Mus musculus: one gene and its partners. The protein of the gene in region 3 interacts with the protein of the main gene of each other region in a pairwise test. Links are inferred from orthologs where the notes say so. Each region holds a gene or a part of one and is shown on either strand. Other genes may lie near its edges. The genes, in order: Zkscan17, Gnmt, Arr3 and Dvl2.

Region 1 (4,252 bases), on a different chromosome or scaffold from region 3:
CAGATAGACAATGGGGGGCTATCTCAGGGAAGGCTGGGTTTAGGATGGCCCGATCAATTTGATATTCAACCCCTGAAAATCCAGGAACTTGTCTCAGCATCTAAATATGCTAAGAATACAGTGTTACAGGCCTGTAATCCCAGCCTTTAGAAGAGGCAGGAGAATCGGCCAGCCTTTAGGATGAGACCACCATGTCTCAAAAAATAAATACAGGGCTGGTGAGATGGCTCAATGAGAAAGTGCACTTGCTGCTAACACAATGACTTGAGTTCAATCCCAGGGACCTACAAGTCATCCTCTGACTATCACATTTACAACAAAGCATGTTTGCACCGGTATTAAGTGTTCACATAAAAAAAAAAAAAAAAAAGCCTAAATGAAGGCTAAAAGGCTAAAACTGGCAGTTCAGTGAAGGGAGGGCCCATGTGGACCACTTGTGAACTTGTCACCTGCACAGTTCCAAAAAAGGCTGTTTAAGAAGTTAGTGTGGATGCAGTTAAAGAGAATCCTGTACCTTATTGAGAATGTGAATTAGCACAGCCATTAGGAAAAACAGCAGGTCTTCAAAAAATGAACAAAACTGTTATTACTGAACAATCCCTCTTGTGACTAGAAACCACAAAAGAAATAAAATCTCAAAGGGGCAAGTCACTGTCACGTTCCCTGGGGAATCAGGCACAATAGCTGTCAGAGGATCACAGTGTCTATCGGCAGATGGATAGATAAGAAAATACGGTCTACGAGAGAGAAGATTGGTTAAGAATAGGGGAGGACAGGGACACAGAACACCTGGGTGGGAAGGAGGGCAGTAGGGTAGAGTGGGGGAGAAATGAACACAAGGAAGGAGAAGACGATCAATAGGGACAACATAACCTAACACTGTGTGTGTGTGTGTGTGTGTGTGTTCGCGTGCGCGTGCACGAGTGCACAGTATGTATGTATATTAAAGCCATGTACCATCACATCCAGCTGCATATTGTCTCTTAATTTTTTTCCCAGCACGTGGGAGGTAGAGGTAGGTGGGTCTCAAGTTTGAGGATACATAACGAGAGTTTCATGGCAGTCAGGAAGTCCTATCTCAAAAAGAAAAACAACATGAGAGAGACAGACAGAGAGACAGAGCGAGACAGACGGGGAAAATATGCAAGCAAACATATAGACACTTGAGATGCGACTCAGTCATGAAGGGTGGCATCCTATCTTTCCTGTGCAACATGGAAAGCACATCCTAAGAACCAGAGCGGGCACAGGGTGACACAGCACGGGATGACAAGCACCGCTCAATCTTGCTCATATACTGAATTTATATCTGGAAGAAAAGTTTAATTCTGCTCCCTAGTGCCTGCCACCTATTATGGATGGATCAACGTTTCATTCTACCCAGAGGCTACTTTGGCAGAAGAGCATCACAGTTAGAAGCTAGTAGGTCGTCCTAGTGTTAAATGTCTTCCCAATTGCTGACATCAGGAAATTCTGTATCGAGTACTGCCCAAGGAAGCAACCCAAGTCTGAGTGGACACAACTGGTGTTCTAGAAGATCCCTCACAGCAGGCCTCTCCCTGGGCATCCCTCCCCTAGAAGGGCTCATATGTATATAACGGCTGCTCGCACAGTAGTGTTGACTTGGGGGAATGGTCCTTTCCTTATAGTGCCTGATATATTTGAACTATGGTCCCTGTAAATTCACAAGCTCTAATCCTAGGCACCTCAGAATGTGACTGTATTTGGAGGAAGGCTCTCTAAAGAATCAATTAAGTTAAAATGAGTTCATGAGCATGCGCCCAAACTCAACCTAACTGGTGTCACTAAGGAGGGTTATCGAGAAGACAGGCAGATGGAAGATACAGCAAGGAGTGGTTGTCTGTCTGCTAACTCAAGGAGGCTCAGAAGAACCCAAGGCTGACCAGTCAACCTCACAGCCATGAGAGAAGAAACTAACTGCTGTTGGAGAAGCAATTCAACGTGTAGAACACAGGTGGGCAGTGCCACCGCATCAACACAGATGGTCCTTCCAGCCAGAGGGACAGAAGAGTTCTGATTTGTACAGAAGTCAGTAAACACTGGCAGGCAGGAAAATATACACACACATACACACACACACACACACACACACACACACACACTTTCTTTTTTTTTAAAACAAAAGACTCTAATTGCCAACTATGGTTGAGTGGGCCTGTAACTGCAGCACTCAGGAGGCTGAGGTAGGAGACTCACCAGTTTGAGGGCAGCCTGAGGAAGGGATGGGAAGAGGAAGAAAGGAGAACAAGAAAAAACAGAAGCAGGTTTTGTTTTTAGTCTAGATAAGGTGCTGGAGACGGAACTAGGGGTGTGTGCACGCTAAGCAGATGGTCCACCACAGAGCTGTACCTCCAACCACTGAACAGAGTCAACGCCAGAAGTAACAAAAAAAAAATCTCAAAAATGCACCTTTTCCATTATAATTAAGAGTACTGTTGTGGTGGCAAGGCTTATAAGAGGGATACGGGGTCCCTGGGCCTTGAGGGGCCTTGGGGAAGCAAACCTCAAGGAACCTAGAGATGACCTACTGTAACTCAAAGGAACAATGGCTCAGGCTTTGAGTCTAACACTTCCCCCCTCTTTGCAGCTGTTGGATGGTTTAAACAGATACTCAAACCCTGCCACAGGGCACTGGAGCCATCTGCAGGAGAGGCTACTGCTCTCTCCCAGGGGATTTTAGATGTTCTTATAGCTGCAGAGTAACCTAGCCAAGAAAATGTGGTTTCGAGAGAACAGAAGACAGAGCCATGCTCAGATCAGGCCACAGGTCCTGGTTCTACAGTGACTTTCTCTGTCTCCACTGAGAATACTCTCAAAGAAAGAAGACCATATAATCTCACACCATCTGTTCACACAGGCCTTCCCTCTGGGAGGACTCAATACCAAGAGACTCTGTGTCGGTTGCTCTGCAGAAAGACCCAGAACACAGTAATCGTGCACAGTTCAGAGGAGACGAGAAAACAGAATGTAAAAAGGCCATCACTTTAGTCAACACCCAAGCACACTGGTAGTGTATAATTCAACTCTCAAGCTCACACTACAGACTGCATACCTAAGTCTTCGCTAGGCTGGCCTGGTGATCTGCTTAGAAGCCCAGTGCCCTGTACTAGAGCCCCAGGCGGGGCATCAGGGTAGCTCTGGGACTCTGCTGACATTCGTTCTTGTTCCAGGTCCTGAGGCGCAGCAGGCCCGTCGCCATCGTCAATCACCACCGGGTCTTCACAGTGCTTGAGCTGCAATCCCAGAAAGCAGCAGATCAGGGCCAGGTAGAGAGAGAGGAGTATGATAAAGCCCGGCCCATAGGCTCTGCACAGATCTGTGTAGGCCTTCTCCCTTTCTGGTCTTGCCATCCATGGACTTGATGGGTAACAATCATCTCAACTTAGACTTCATAGAGAGTAATGTTTGCTTTCTTAGGAAAGAAAGCAAACTGGGTCTGGACAGAATTTCTCATCTGGGGTCAGAAGTCTCACAGGGTCAGCAAGGGCTCCCCTCTCCCAGACGCCCGGTGCTCACCCACTGCCAGGGTCTCCCTGGCTCCCGTTCCAGAGCCTCTACTGCAGCCACAGCCTGCTCTCCGCTCTCAGGCTCCTGGGCTCGCACCCAGCTCTGGATCTCCCACGGCAGGATAGCCAAGAACTGCTCCAGCACCAGTAGCTCCAGGATCTGCTCCTTCGTGTGCCTTTCGAGCCTCAGCCAGCCCCGGCACAGCTCCCAGAGGCGCTGCAGGGCCTCCCGAGGGCCTGCGGCCTCCTGGTAGCGGAAGCGGCGGAAGAGGCGTCGAGAGGACTCTGGGCTGGGAGGCTCACCCTGAGGGCTGGGGTTCTCTCCAGGAGGACTCCTCATTTTCCTGGGCTCCTCACTTTCCTTTGGAGCCAAGACTCGTGGGCACAGGGCTGTGGGCATGATGGGATTTGATGGGGGTCAGCGGCAGAAGACGACCCTATTTCCAAACAGAAATCACTGGCTTCAATGCTCTGGTCTCCTGTGGCCACTTCTGAGGGGGTGCTAGGCAGAGCCCATGGGAGACCAGCCCTTTGAGGAATTCCTGGGAAATGTACGAAGTGTTGGTGTGGCTGGTCCTTACACATGGGAACCGAAAGAAAGATGACCCTTCCCACAAGCCATCACTCCATGAGGAGTCCCCTAACATGTGGCAGTAAAGAAGGCAGGGCATTTGGGAGAAAAGTGGTGGCGATTCAACAGGACACTGGCATTCCCAGTACCCCAG
Region 2 (4,918 bases), on a different chromosome or scaffold from region 3:
TTGAGCACATGGATGAAGTAGCAGGGAACGTAGGCCTGGCCAGGCTTGTAGGGCTTGAAGTCACCCAGGACGCTGTGCTGGCACCTGCCCCCAAAGGCTGCTCGCACCAACTCCGTGAAAGACGCCAAACAGTGTGGGTAGTAAGAGAGCCGGAACTTACTGCAACAGGGCCCCCAGCCAGATATGAGGGCTGCTGGCCTCAGGTCTCCCCACCACCACCACCTCTCTCCTGCCAAACCACGTCATACCTGAAGCCAGGAGAGCCATCTCTGCCAGTGCCTGGCACCTGCACTGTGTAGTCCAGGGTTACCATGTGGGCTTTGTTGTTGACTGTCAGTACTGACGTCGTAATGTCCTTGGTCAGGTCACTCTGAGGGCATGGGTTGCGTCATTCCCTGAGCCACCACGGGGCTTCTGGCCCTCCAGCTCCCGCTTCCCATTGGGGGGCAGCCCAACCTTATAGTAGATGTTCTTCCCCGGGGGCGCACAGCCTGTGCTGAGGATATAGTCGTAGTTGCGGTGGTCGATCACCAGCAGGCCCCCGGGCCGCACCATGCTTGCAATGTTCTTTAGTGCCAGCCGGTGCTCGCTCTGGTCACCTGGGTTCCCGGCAGGGCCACAGACACCATCTGCTTAGGCCTCCAGCACCACCTCCCGCCCCTGTCTCCCTCCCAAGTGCCAGCACTAAAGAAGACAGGCAAAATGCAGGTCTGCCTTATCAGGGCAGCAGGCCAGCCATCTTCGGACGTGGGGGAGCTCAAGGCAAGAGCCACAGCCAAGGCCACCAGCTTACCTTTGCAGTCTGGCAAGTGAGCAAAACTGTTCCCAAGGCAGATGACAGCATCAAAGCCATCTCCTGAAAGCACATCTTTGTCCAGCGTCAACCAGTTGGCTTCTTCAATGACTGGAGGCCAGGGCAGGGGTTGGGGGGGGAGTCGAGAATTATAGCACAGCACAGAAGCAACCACCTCCTCCCAGAGACACATGGGGACTCATTAGGGATGGAGAGAGCCACAGTTGGCAAAGCCAGCCCTCCACTTAGGGGCTTTTGTAGGGAGGAGAGACAGGATGTGATAAGACAGTTAAAAGTAGCTCTGTAGGGCCCAGTGACTTGACGTACACCTCTAGACTCTGTTAGACAGGAGCATCACTTAAATCTAGCTTAGCCAAGCCAGGCAACACGGGAAAAGCATAAAAACCGCTGGTAATGCAGCCCAGTGATCAAGGGTCTACTTGGCATGCCCAAGTTCAATGCCTAGCACCATAAATACAACAAACTTGCTCTTACCAGCCGGAATCCTACTCTGATGCCAAAGCCTTCCTTTTTAGGAAGTTGACAGGGACTGTACCGTGCCCTGAGGAAAAACCATTCAGCTCCACAGCAAGAGAGAGCCAGGGCAGAGAGTGACCCTGGAGGTGCATGTCTGGGGGGGCCTGGACAGACAGACTTACCCCAATTGTCAAAGGATGGCTCTTTCCTCCGGTTCCAGCGCTCCTTAAGCGCATATTTCAGCATCTTGTCGCTGGCGTCCACGCTCATCACGCTGAAGCCCTCTTCCACCAGCATGATGGAGTCCACTCTGGATGAGGTCAGAAACGGGGGACTAGAGGACCAGTCAGAGGAGCCTGGGAGGCCAAATGTGTGTGACATTTCCCCAGACATAACATTCCAGAGTCCGTTCCTCTGCTTCCTGTCCCAGGCCATCTCTACTGGTCTCAAGTGACCCATTAAGAATTTTCCTGGGGGCTGGTGAGATGGCTCAGTGGGTAAGAGCACCCGACTGCTCTTCTGAAGGTCCAGAGTTCAAATCCCAGCAACCACATGGTGGCTCACAACCATCCGTAACAAGATCTGACTCCCTCTTCTGGTGTCTGAAGACAGCTACAGTGTACTTACATATAATAATAAATAAATCTTAAAAAAAAAAAAAAAAGAATTTTCCTTATCAAGTAGCAAAAAAATTTTTTGAGAGTTTTTTTTTTTTTGTTTTTTGTTTTTTTTTTAGCCTGGTTTAAACAGTGAGTTCCAAGACAGCTGGGGCTACAAAGAGAGACTCTGTTTCAAAAAAATTTTTTTTCAAAATTTAATTTCATGTGTCGTGCCTGAATATGTGCATCATGTGCATACCTTGTGTCTGCAGACCCCAGAGAGGGTGCTGGGCACCAAATTTGGGTCCTCTGTAAGAACATGTGCCATCTCCCCAGCTGCCTCTTATTAGAAACAGGGTCTCCTAATGTAGCCCTGCAGGGCCTGGAACTCACAGAGAGCCACCTATTTAGGACTCCCTGAGTGCTGGGATTAAATATATGTGCCACTACTCCTGACATCAACACATTTTTTTTTATTTTTAATTATGTCTGTATGTGTAGTACATGTGAGTACAGTGCCCTCCACGGCCAGAAGGGAGCGCTAACCTCCCCCTGGAACGGAATTCCAGGCGATTATGAGCCACCTGATGCAGATGCTAGGCACTGAGAGCCTGTCTTCTGCCAGAGCCTAAGGGGCTCTTAGTAGTCGGACCATCTCACCGGCTCAATGGCTTTTTGTTGTTGTTTTTGTTTTTAAATCATAGTCAGGCATTCTACAAAAGTGCACTTGAGAACCTGGCATACTGGTGCTCCTGGAAATATCTCAGTCAGAGGTGTCCGTGAGTTCTGGGCTGAGTCGGGAGTGTGGGCCAGACACTATCCTGGTCTGTATCCTCTCCACCAAATGGGGGCCTTTTACCTCTTGGAAATGACTTTTTCTTTAGTACTACTGGTTGGAGAAAAGCGCTGCTCACCTCGTGGGGTTTTGTTACAGCTTGCAACACACGTACCCAAACTCCTGGCACAGCACTTGGCTGTGCAAACGTGCTACAAATGTTCTGTTCACACTGCCAGAGGCCAATCGCAGGAGGAACAGCGCCGGAGCCAAGGATCCACCTTGACCCAAAGCTCGGATTTTGCTCTGTCCCATGAATCCTTCTCTGCGCACACCCTGGCCCCTTCCCGCACTGTTTCGGCAGATGCTCTCCCATGCCCATACTACCCTGATGAGCAAGGGCTCTTGACCCCCTAGTACTGCCTGCCAGGCTCCAGCCCGCAGAGGCTGCCCAGACTGGCCTAAGCAGGCCGGCCCGTTTGGACTCACCCTGTGCCACAGGCTACGTCCAGCACCCTGTGGCACCCGTGCTGGCGCAACAGCCCAAGCAACCACGCCTTGTACTCTGCGGTACGGCTGCGGGTGTCCCCGATGTACAGCTGCCACACACGTGCGGCCTCCCCATCTGCATACTGGTCCGGGAGCCCTTCGGCCGCCACCCCCAGGGAGCGGGTACGGTACACGCTGTCCACCATCCTGACCGGCGCCTGGCTCTCAGGCCACGCGATCCGCACTTATAATCCTCTGGCAAGGCAGTCCCACCTGGCCAATGGCAGGTGAGAGCAGGGACACGCCCCTGCTGGGCCCTGGGCCCAGAGCCAGGCTTGCTGCCTCTGCCTTGAGGATGGCTCAGCACAGCAATCCTGGACCTGGCTTAGTAAGACAGGTCAGATAGGACTCGCCAGGGTGGCCGGGAGGAACTCACAAAGTAAAGCAATGAGAGATCACTCCACCCCTACCCAAGGAGGAAGGGGAAGAAGCCTGAAATCCACCCAAAACAGAATTATTACATGCCCAGCCCAGCACAGTGTCTACACAACACTGCTTATCATTTAGTGGAGGGAACACTCCGCTAAAGAGAGCCACTGTGTCGGGACATTATGAACAGTCTTTGAGAAAGATGCCCATCCAAGTACAAGAGTACACCTGGAGATAGGCGTGTCTCTCTTCCCCTCCCCCATACCAGCCAGGAGCCTCCTAAGGTAGCCTGGGCCTTCCAATCCATGGGCTTTATACTCTGCAATCTCTTAAAGGCTGGGTGTAGTAAGGTGAGACAGGAGGATTATTAGTGCTCAATGAATTAGTGAACAATGTGGGAGACATAGCAAGCCTTCCATCTGCTTTCCATGGGAGCACCTTCAGAGAGGAAAGTTGGGGGTCGGCAGGGAAGGTGCTCATGGCGCCCGCTCGGGCTAGCGTCACTGTATAACCTGAGGGTCCGTTTCGTGTTACCCGCTCACCCTTTTTACCCCACCAAGGACAAGATCCCAGCCGGGCTAAAGTCGGCTCTGGAAGATGCGTGTGAGCGACGAGAAGCCTGCCCCGCCTGCCCTGCCTGCCCACACACTTCCAACTCTGTGAACACTCGTTACGTGGAAAGAAGAGAGAAGACAGGGAGCATCCCGCCCGCCCGCCCGCCCGCCCTCCCTTCGCCTTCCCAATGCAGGGTGAACCCTGGAGATGGAAGGAGGCCCACAGTTGTGTGACTTAACCTTCTTATAGTAGGTATGGCTGTTTTGACTTCATAGATGTCAGTATGTGTCTGACGCCCGTGGAGCCCAGAATCGAGAGCTTCAGATACCCTGAACCTGCAGTTGTAGACAGTGGGGAGCCACTCGGTGGTGCTGAGGACACTGAACCCCACAGAGGACCAAGTGGTTTGTTTGGTTTGGTTTGGTTTTTGTGAGAAAGGGTTTCTCTGGCTGTCCTAGAATTCACTCTGTAAACCAGGCTGGCCTCGAACTCAGAGATCCGACTGCCTCTGCCTCCCAAGGGCTAGGGCTAAAAGCGTGCGCTACGACCCTAGCTGCAGATAGGGCTTTTAATGGCTGACCTATCTCTCCAGCCCATATTTTTTAACTTTTGTTAGCACAGCGCCAATCTCAAATGGTTCTGACCAGGCTCAGTCTTGGGGACTCAATGTCCCTACACACAGGCCTCTGACACTATGCTCAGAAAGATTCTCGAGGCTGAGTGTGATGGTGTGTGCCTGTAAGTCCTATACTTGGCAGCTGAGAACAGAAAAGCTGGAGTTCAAAGATATTCTAGGGTACA
Region 3 (4,252 bases):
TAAATGCTGAGATTAAAGATGTGTACCACCACACTCAGCCTAGCCAATGCTTCTATTGGGGGGTGGTAGGAAATTTGAGTTGAGACCTCTTAAGAGCAATTGAGGAAGTTTGGTTTTTGGAGACATGCCCTTCTCGACATTCTGTTTGCTCCCTGGGATCAAACCTCTTCTGCCATGTGCTCCCATCATCATATACTATATTTCCAGGAGCCCAAATCAACGGAGTTGTATAGCCATAGACTGAACCATGAGGAAAAAAAAAGAAAGAAAGACAAGAAAAAGCCTTCCCTCCTTTTGAGTTGACTAGGTCATTGGTGGAAAGGTCATTAGCTAATGGTCTTCCTTACCTTTCCTGAATCTTCAGGCCCAGGCTGCAGTGTTACTGAACAGGGCAGGTTAGCAACCATCTAGGAAATCAGAAGGAGCTCAGAAAAATAGGGACAACTCTCTCTGTTCTCCTTTTATCTCTTAATCTTCCCTGGAAACTTTGCCCAAGACTTGAGGTCAGTACCTGAAGTGTAAAAGGATAGGCATTGACCCCGAGCTTGTGCAGAAGCCGCTCCTGTAAGGCTGTGAGGGGGCCCTGGATGCTGGTGGGTTCAGCTGGAGCCACTTGCTTGGTTTGTACATAGAGATCTTTGCGAAATGTCAGACCAATCACATCCAAGTCATCACGGCCATAGCGAAAAGCACAGGTCAACCTGACAAACACTGCTGGCAAAAGAGGAAGAGAGTGAGTGACTTGTCAAACTTGTGACAAAGGAAATCCTAAATGGGGGGAAAGGAAGACCCACAGAGGCAAGCTAGTATAATCCCAAAAGTATAGTCACAAAGAAATATTTGGTTACATTTGATTGCAATAGTATTTTAAAGTTCTCTGTGTTACAAGGTTCACAAAGATAAAAGGAAATTCAGAGTTCAAGTGTTTGAAACACATATAACTGTTTAGCATTTGGAATGTTGAAAGGCCGAGGAGATAGTTCAGTTGGCAAAGAATTTGCTGCCAAAGTATAAGGACTTGGATTTGGTCCCATGGGAAAAGGTGGGGAGCAATGGTACATGCTTCAATCCCAGCGCTGCTAGGTGGAGACGGGTAGATAGATTCCTGAGGCTCTCTGACCACCTAGTCTGGCCTGATCAGTGGGCCCCAGAACAGAGAGAGAGGGGGAGAGATCCACTCTCAAAAAACACCCAAGATTGACCTCCGGCCTCCACACATACCTGTACACACATGAACAAAATAACTGTTACCAATTGGTAACACACACACACACACACACACACACACACACACACACCAATCTAAAAGTGTGCCAAGAACGCAGGTGGATTCTTAGAAGCACATGTGGAATGGCCAAAGATTTGTGTAGTCTCAGTAGTAATCAGATACATCCACATGAAAGCCACAGTGGGATGACATTTCACACAGATCATACTGTCAAAAATATTGAAGCCAGACATTGAGTGTTCATGCTGATGTGGCTCAGTTGGAGTTCAAATGCACGACTGGTCGGAGCTACTGTCATATCACCACAAATGGAACCTTTTCTCATCTTCATTTATGAATGGTGTTTAGACCTTTATTAGAGAAGCCTTGTGTAGCATCCATCTTTTTTTTTTCCAGTTCACCTTCTGTCACCTATGTACACAACATTCCTCCCCTCTGGAGGGCCCAGCAATAAGGCCCAATTTTGCATGCAGAGAGCAGCCTTTACAGAAAATTGAACATGCTACTCACCTTAACTTGGATTTGCCTGGCTACTGAATAGTGAGAAAGTAAATTTCTTTTCCTAATATATTATCTAGTTTTGGGTATTTTGGTACAGCAGCATTAGTCAACTAAGAAGTATATGAATAATTAAATGATTAAATTTCAAAAAAAAAATTCTAGCACCAGAATTAAATGTGCACTGTTAATTTTATATGCAGATTAAAACTGTATATAACAATGTAAAAATTGGTTGTAGACACAGAATGTTAAATATAAGTATACAAGCATCATGGACCAAATAAACACTAAATGTAGGATAGTGGTTGCCTGGGTAGGAGAAAAGACAAGGATAGGGAGAGAGACTCAAAAAGAAGGGCAGAGGAAGCTTTGGGTCTATACTTCTTTTCAAAGCTAGGTGGTAGATATATTTTTTTATGCCTGAAATATTTAATAGTTTAAAAGAGTTAACAAGAATTAGGGTCAGATACCAGCAAGATAGCTCAGTGGGTAAAAGTACTTGTTCCATAAGCTGGTTGACTTTATTTCAATCCCCGGAACCCACAAAACACTGGAAGTGGTAGTTTGCATCTATAATCACTGCATTCAGAAGGTGAGATGCGAGGCAGAGGCAGAGGCAGAATTGGCCAGACATTCACGTTACAAACTTTCTGTGAAACACTAGCTCTCTGGGAATTCAGCCTAAAGAGCGAATTGGATACACACAACGGGTTGGGGGATGCAGAGTTGTTTATAACAGCAAAATATGTTAAAACAAATGTTGAAATGTCGAAAACATGTTGAAAACAAAGGAAATGTCCAACGAGTGGATTTTTAAACGCAGCTTCATAGATTATGGATTCATATATGTTGACATAGACTTAAAAGAAAATTATAAGGTATTTATGGGATTATAAAATTATAAAATAGGGGTTTTTGCACAAAAAAGTAAGTAGATGAAAGCTGAAATGGGGTTAGGAGTAATTAAATTATAATCCCTTCATCTGTGATGGCCTTGAACTCACAGAGATCTGGCTACCTCTGACTGCTACTTTTGCTGGCTGTGTGTTGATTATAGGGATTAAGCCTATGATTTTTGTAGTATTTGATTTTATTTTTTGTATATTTATTTTTGAGACAGGTCTCTCTGTGAAGTTCTAGCTGGCCTGGAATTCACTAAGTAGACCAGACTGGTCTCAAACTCACAGAATCTCATGCACACTAGGTAGCCGCTTATCTTTCTTTGTACTTTCTTATTCTGAGGCCTCAGAGATCTCTCTAAATTTGCCCAGCCTACTCTTGAACTTTTTGTGATCCTCCTGCCTGAGCCCCTCTTGCCCAGGCAGCTGGGATTACAGGCCTGCATTACCAGGCCTGGCAGGTTGCTTTTATTTTCCTCTAAAAGGCAACATCTACTCTAAATGTGTCCATTTTGTCTTAATGATATAAATTACATACACATTTATATGAGCATCAAAAATATAATCAAAAAGAAAAATTCAAAGCTCTACCACAGCACCATTTTTGCAGAGATAAGTGCCATGTTATCTGCTCTGATGCCTTCTAAATTGCTTTGTTTCTACAACTAAACACAAGGCAATCTCAGGTACTTATAACTGTTTTCTCATTTCTTTTCCGAAATTAAACATTTAAAAAAACTTTTGTGACTACTGTTTGTTTATACAGTAAAATTTTGCAGTTGCAAAGAATAGCACACAGAGAGGCCAGATAGAGTGCTATTAAACAGTAGTGTGTGTGTGTGTGTGTGTGTACCATACCCCACATCTTTCGCCTCACTTGACTTTACCACTCAGTGCATAGAAAAGGATGGTTTACATTAAAACATACACCTGTGATGGAGAAGGACTTGAAAAATACGGTCAAAGCAAGATGATGTTCACAAAGTAACAGAGCATACAAGTGGGAGGAAATGTCAGAAATATATAAGATTGAAATGAATAATAAGTCAAAACTCTACCAAAGAGACATAAAAAACTCAAATATATCTAATTTCTGAGTAAGCCTGTAATTTTTGAGAGATAAGTTCTTCCTATATAGTTTTCACAGGCCTCAAAGTCACTTTGCATGCCAGCCTGGCCTTGGACTTGCTTCCTCAGCCTCCTGGGTGTTGTCGTAGATGTTAGTCATCATGCCAAGCAACATGCAGTCTTTAAAAAGTGAATATTTCTTTTCATAGGTTATTCTGGGAAATTTTAGAAGTGCGGGAATAAAACCACTTAGATTTTAGAAACAGAGTATTTGTTACTTATAAATAAGTTGGCTAATTTGTGCCTATTCTGAAAAGTTTCTCTGACATTTGAAATTGTCCAGAGTGCTTATCCGTGGTGCTTAATCTCAGAAAGGAAAGCTCTTTCATTCCCAGTATCTAAAGGCTATTTCTGGACGAGTAGTCACCAACTGGTTCTGAATCTTTTCTCCAGTTGAACACAATTTTCAGTCCAGTTGGATCACAGTGGGGTTAATCCATAGTGAGAATTAAAAGGGGAAAATTCAGTGGGAAGTAGTTCAGTGCAATCTTGAACT
Region 4 (4,252 bases), on a different chromosome or scaffold from region 3:
CAGCACGATGGGGCTGTGGGGAAGAGCAGAGCAGCTCAGGGGAGGGACGAGGCCTCAGGAAGCCCGAGGCCTGGTGGGAGGAGACTGAGGACAGAGAGGTGGGAAAGAAAAGAGCTCACGTTGCTGGGCTAGAGAGAGTGAGGGTGAAGGCCTCCACAGTGCGTGTGACTCACAACATGGCTAAGTTCAAAACACTGCTGCGGGGAACAATGGAGAGCAGAGTGAATGTTCCCTTCACTCACAGCAAGCCTCACCCAGGTAACACCAAACCATCTTGTTCCAGGACTCATGCATGAAAAACCATTAAAGGTTTTCTTGACCAAAGAAGCCAAACGGTAATTATCATCAGTGAGGAGAGGGAGTGGCAAGGAGCACACAGTGGGTGGCCTCTTCTCAGGTGCTCACCCACATCTGCTTCATGCTCTAGTGTGGAGTGACATGCCAGGGAGATTTGCAATTTGTGGGTTTTGTTCTCTTTTGAAAGACGTATTTGTTTTTTTTTATGTACGTGAGTACACTGTCAGTCTCTTCAGACACACCAGAAGAGGGCATCAGATCTCATTACAAATGGTTGTGAGCCACCATGTGGCTGCTGGGAATTGAACTCAGGATCTCTGGAAGAGCAAACAGTGTTCTTAACTGCTGAGCCATCTCTACAGCCCTTGTTTTGTTTGGTTTTTGTTTTCTCGCTATGTAGACCCGGATGGACTGAAACTCACTCTGCAGACCAGGCTGCCTCACACTCAGCCCAACTGTGCCTCAAATAACATGTTTAAAGGCATGCACCACCATGCCTGGCCTCACGTCTTTATAAAAATTGCAAAACAAAGGTAAACAGGCTTAAGCCCAAGAGGCCTGGGGCCAGCCGCACTCACCCTGGCTTGTGCACGATGTCTCTCAGCACTCGTACAGCATCGTCGTTGCTCATGTTCTCAAAGTTCATATCATTTACCTGAAGGGAAGGGGTGGTGGGTCATGGGCAGTGTGGGAGGGGCAGAGCATCCGCCCCAGCCAGCAGCCAGGCCGTCAGCGCACCTGCAAAAGCATGTCTCCAGGCTCGATCCGCCCGTCCGCAGCCACCGCGCCCCCTTTCATGATGGAGCCGATGTAGATGCCCCCATCACCACGCTCGTTACTTTGGCCCACAATGGAGATGCCCAGGAAGTTGTACTTCTCTGTGGAGGGGGGCCATATGACTGAGCCCCAGAAACCCCAAGCCCCTCTCTCTCCTTCCCTTCTCCCCGTCAGGACCCTCCATACCCATGTTGAGCGTGACCGTGATGATGTTGAGAGACATTGTGGAATCGGTGACACTGCTGAAGGATGAGGTCTACAGCGGGGAGACATGAAAGGTGTGAACTGCTCCCCGTCAACAGAGAGAGAAGCCACAAGCTTGTGTTTCAACCAGAGCCCACTTCATCCCAAAAGAACCCTCACCCTCTCCATGCGTGGCGGCCGCTGCTTCCTTCGCCTTCGGTGGCGCTTGAGGAGGCGGGAGGCACTGCTCTGCTCAGTGGAGCTGCTGAACCTGATAGCAATTGAGAAGCATAGCATTTGGAGGTGGAAGTGGTCAGGGAGCCACATGAAACAAGAAGACTGGCTGGGGGGGAGGGGGAGGGGAGGAGGGGGGAGGAGGGAGGGAACAGGGAGGGAAGTGTGCAGCCATACCTACTCATGGTGTCATCCTCATCCGAGTCTCCTAGGCTGGTACTCTCCAGCTCACTGGTCATGAGGGTGGAAGAGCTCTCGTAGCCAGCCAGGTGGCGCTCCAGCCTCGAGGGGCCACCAGGCCTGTGGCCACCAGCTGTGTATAAACAAGAGACTCAGGAGCCAGGCCTCCCCTTCTTCATACCCAGCATGCTAAGGCTTGCCTGTCTGCCCAGCTCAGTCTACCCTGCCTCCAGGGTCCATCCCCTCACCGCCATGTTCACTGCTGTCTCTCCTCCTAGGTCGGTCTCGCCTCAGTGATACGACAGATTCGGTCTCTGTCTCAGGCTCTAGATTTTCATGGCTGCTGGATACATTAGGGCTACACAGGTAGAGAGAGTTTCCAACCAAAGTCAGTCGGACAGAGCACCGGAACCTCAGTCCCCCTCTCTCAAGAGGTCTAGACTGAATTCCCTCTTCGCTCCCATCCCCTGGACTCAAGAATATAAAGGACTCACTGGAAGGATGGAGGCCTTGAGTCCCCAATTCCACTGGTCCTTTCTGGTGGCAAAGGGGGTAAGGGTGGAGGCGGAGGAACCAGTTCTGTCCGAGACTCATGGGCTGGGGGAGCCACCTCAGGCTGTGGGGTATCTGACGACACAAGCTAGAAGAGAGCACGTAAGAAAACATGGTTCTGCTGGGGAGCGGTGTACGAGAAGAAACTAAGGAAAAGGACCAGAAAAGAAGGACACAGGGTCCTGGAGACCTGGGTGAAGAGGCCAGAAAAAACAATCCAGTACGGGAGGCTATAGGAAGAGGAGGCCGAGGAGTGCTCACTGTATCCACATTAGAGAAGAGGGAAGCCAGGCCACCCGCGACTGAGCAGGGGGGAGGCTGCAGAGACAGACTGAGGTTGGAAGCAGCTCAGTAATGAGTCCCCTTACCCAGGAGACAACCCTTCCATTGAAGCAAGGTAGGCGGGCATTGTCATCGGAGATCTCTTCCTTCACCACCCTGCGGAGAGAGCAGAGTGATTAGTAAGGTGCCAGGTGTGATGGGGTACACCTTCAACTAACACTTGGGAGGCCGAGGCAAGAGGCACTCAGTGAGCAAGGGTTTCTCTTGCGCGCACACACACACACACCACACACACACACACACCCTAGATGGGCGGTGGTGGTGCATGCCTTTAATGCCAGCACTCTGGAAAGCAGAGGCAGGTGATCTGAGTTTGAGGCCAGCCTAGTTTACAGAGAGAACCAGGACAGCCAGGGCTCCACAGAGAAACCCCATCTGGGGGTGGGGGTGGGACAAACACGGGGATGGGGGAGATTAGTAAAGCTAAACTAGTCACTCCCATTCCAAATCTCATTCCAAGTCTCTCCCCATCTCCATCCTGCCCAAGCATGGTGACTTGCTGCCCTGACTGACACGTCGTCTGCTTTTCCCCTAATGTATATGTACATGTCTGTGTGCATGGCTGTCACATGAGGGTATTTGCAGAGGACAGGAGAATATTATCTCCCCTGGAGCTAGTTACAGGGAGTCAGGAGCCACCAGTGGGTGCTAGTGCTAAGAACAGAACACAGCGGCATCCTCTAAGCCAACTGTCTATAGACTTCTGCCCTTTTTTTTTTCAGCAGCGGTAGCGACGACCAGGCTGGCTTCAAACTCACAGAGAGCTGCCTAACTCTGCCTCTCCATCCTGGTATTAAAGGCATATGTCACCAAACTTGGCTATGCCACTCAGCCAGCATGCATCACCATGCCCAGCTCCTCTGCTTTCACAGTGAAGTAACTTGCTTTTATACACAAATAAATAAATAAAAATTCTAGACTCTCTCATTTACCACTACCCCAACTCATCCTTAGAGGCACAATGCCACTCCAAAGACTTCTTCCCATTTGATCCAAACCTCAAAGTACCACTCCAAAGTCCCTTTGGGACAGTTCCCACAACTGCTCCAAATATCTAATTTAAGAGCCTGGCTGGCCGCCTAACCATCTCTGTCCTACACATCTGTCCCATAAAAGCCTCTGGTCCTCACGGAACCTGCTGCCTTTGAGTTCTCTCTAATTCACAAGCAGAGCCACCCAAATGTGTGGCTTTTCTGGGTAAAAAATCACCCTTACATGCAACAATAACAGTCCACGTGTGGAACGCTCCCATGGAGCGAGGAAGCTGGGCTTCCCAATTCCGGGCCACCTCACCTCACTAAGCAATCTGCTCGGTCTGAAAAATCCCAAAGCCCAGCCTCCCACAGGTTCCTGTAGTGGACTAGACCTGTTCCTTCCTTCTCATACCCACAAGAAATCATTAGTACCTATTAGATTCAACACATGTCCTGGGTGTGTGGCACAAGCCCTCACCTTTGTAAGCAAATCCATGTAGACAAACTATGAGCCATGAGCCATTCTTTCCCACACATAACACCCTCACCCTCAAATCAGAGCTTCTTCGGGGTGGGGATGGGGGCTAAAGAATTGGCTCAGTGGTTCAGAACACTCGTTCTCGCAGAAGACCCAGGTTTAGTTCCCAGAATCCACCTAGTGGCTCACAACTATCCATAGTTCGAGTCCCAAGGGATCTGACTTGTCTCAGCCA

The links.
Region 1: the proteins of Arr3 (region 3) and Zkscan17 interact in binary tests that used the Homo sapiens proteins (3 or more experiments, as listed by UniProt). The two-hybrid records come from large-scale screens. The link is inferred for Mus musculus from reciprocal best matches to the Homo sapiens genes ARR3 and ZNF496.
Region 2: the proteins of Arr3 (region 3) and Gnmt interact in a two-hybrid assay, tested with the Homo sapiens proteins (2 studies listed by BioGRID and IntAct). The two-hybrid records come from large-scale screens. The link is inferred for Mus musculus from reciprocal best matches to the Homo sapiens genes ARR3 and GNMT.
Region 4: the proteins of Arr3 (region 3) and Dvl2 interact in a two-hybrid assay, tested with the Homo sapiens proteins (2 studies listed by BioGRID and IntAct). The two-hybrid records come from large-scale screens. The link is inferred for Mus musculus from reciprocal best matches to the Homo sapiens genes ARR3 and DVL2.

The regions. Positions count from the first base shown.
Region 1 is NC_000077.6:59,499,847-59,504,098, forward strand, and holds part of Zkscan17 (zinc finger protein 496), read right to left. Parts: intron 3,965-4,252; 5' UTR 3,928-3,964; coding exon 3,538-3,927; intron 3,255-3,537; coding exon 3,074-3,254; intron 1-3,073. UniProt on the Homo sapiens protein: DNA-binding transcription factor that can both act as an activator and a repressor.
Region 2 is NC_000083.6:46,725,813-46,730,730, forward strand, and holds the start of Gnmt (glycine N-methyltransferase), read right to left. Parts: upstream 3,354-4,918; 5' UTR 3,340-3,353; coding exon 3,134-3,339; intron 1,581-3,133; coding exon 1,453-1,580; intron 905-1,452; coding exon 794-904; intron 600-793; coding exon 457-599; intron 371-456; coding exon 249-370; intron 160-248; coding exon 1-159. UniProt on the Homo sapiens protein: Catalyzes the methylation of glycine by using S-adenosylmethionine (AdoMet) to form N-methylglycine (sarcosine) with the concomitant production of S-adenosylhomocysteine (AdoHcy), a reaction regulated by the binding of 5-methyltetrahydrofolate.
Region 3 is NC_000086.7:100,608,207-100,612,458, reverse strand, and holds part of Arr3 (arrestin-C), read right to left. Parts: intron 715-4,252; coding exon of another isoform or gene 712-714; coding exon 512-711; intron 408-511; coding exon 348-407; intron 1-347. UniProt on the Homo sapiens protein: May play a role in an as yet undefined retina-specific signal transduction. Could bind to photoactivated-phosphorylated red/green opsins.
Region 4 is NC_000077.6:70,003,214-70,007,465, reverse strand, and holds part of Dvl2 (segment polarity protein dishevelled homolog DVL-2), read right to left. Parts: intron 2,662-4,252; coding exon 2,592-2,661; intron 2,312-2,591; coding exon 2,166-2,311; intron 2,030-2,165; coding exon 1,920-2,029; intron 1,805-1,919; coding exon 1,669-1,804; intron 1,529-1,668; coding exon 1,438-1,528; intron 1,331-1,437; coding exon 1,261-1,330; intron 1,176-1,260; coding exon 1,036-1,175; intron 953-1,035; coding exon 876-952; intron 14-875; coding exon 1-13.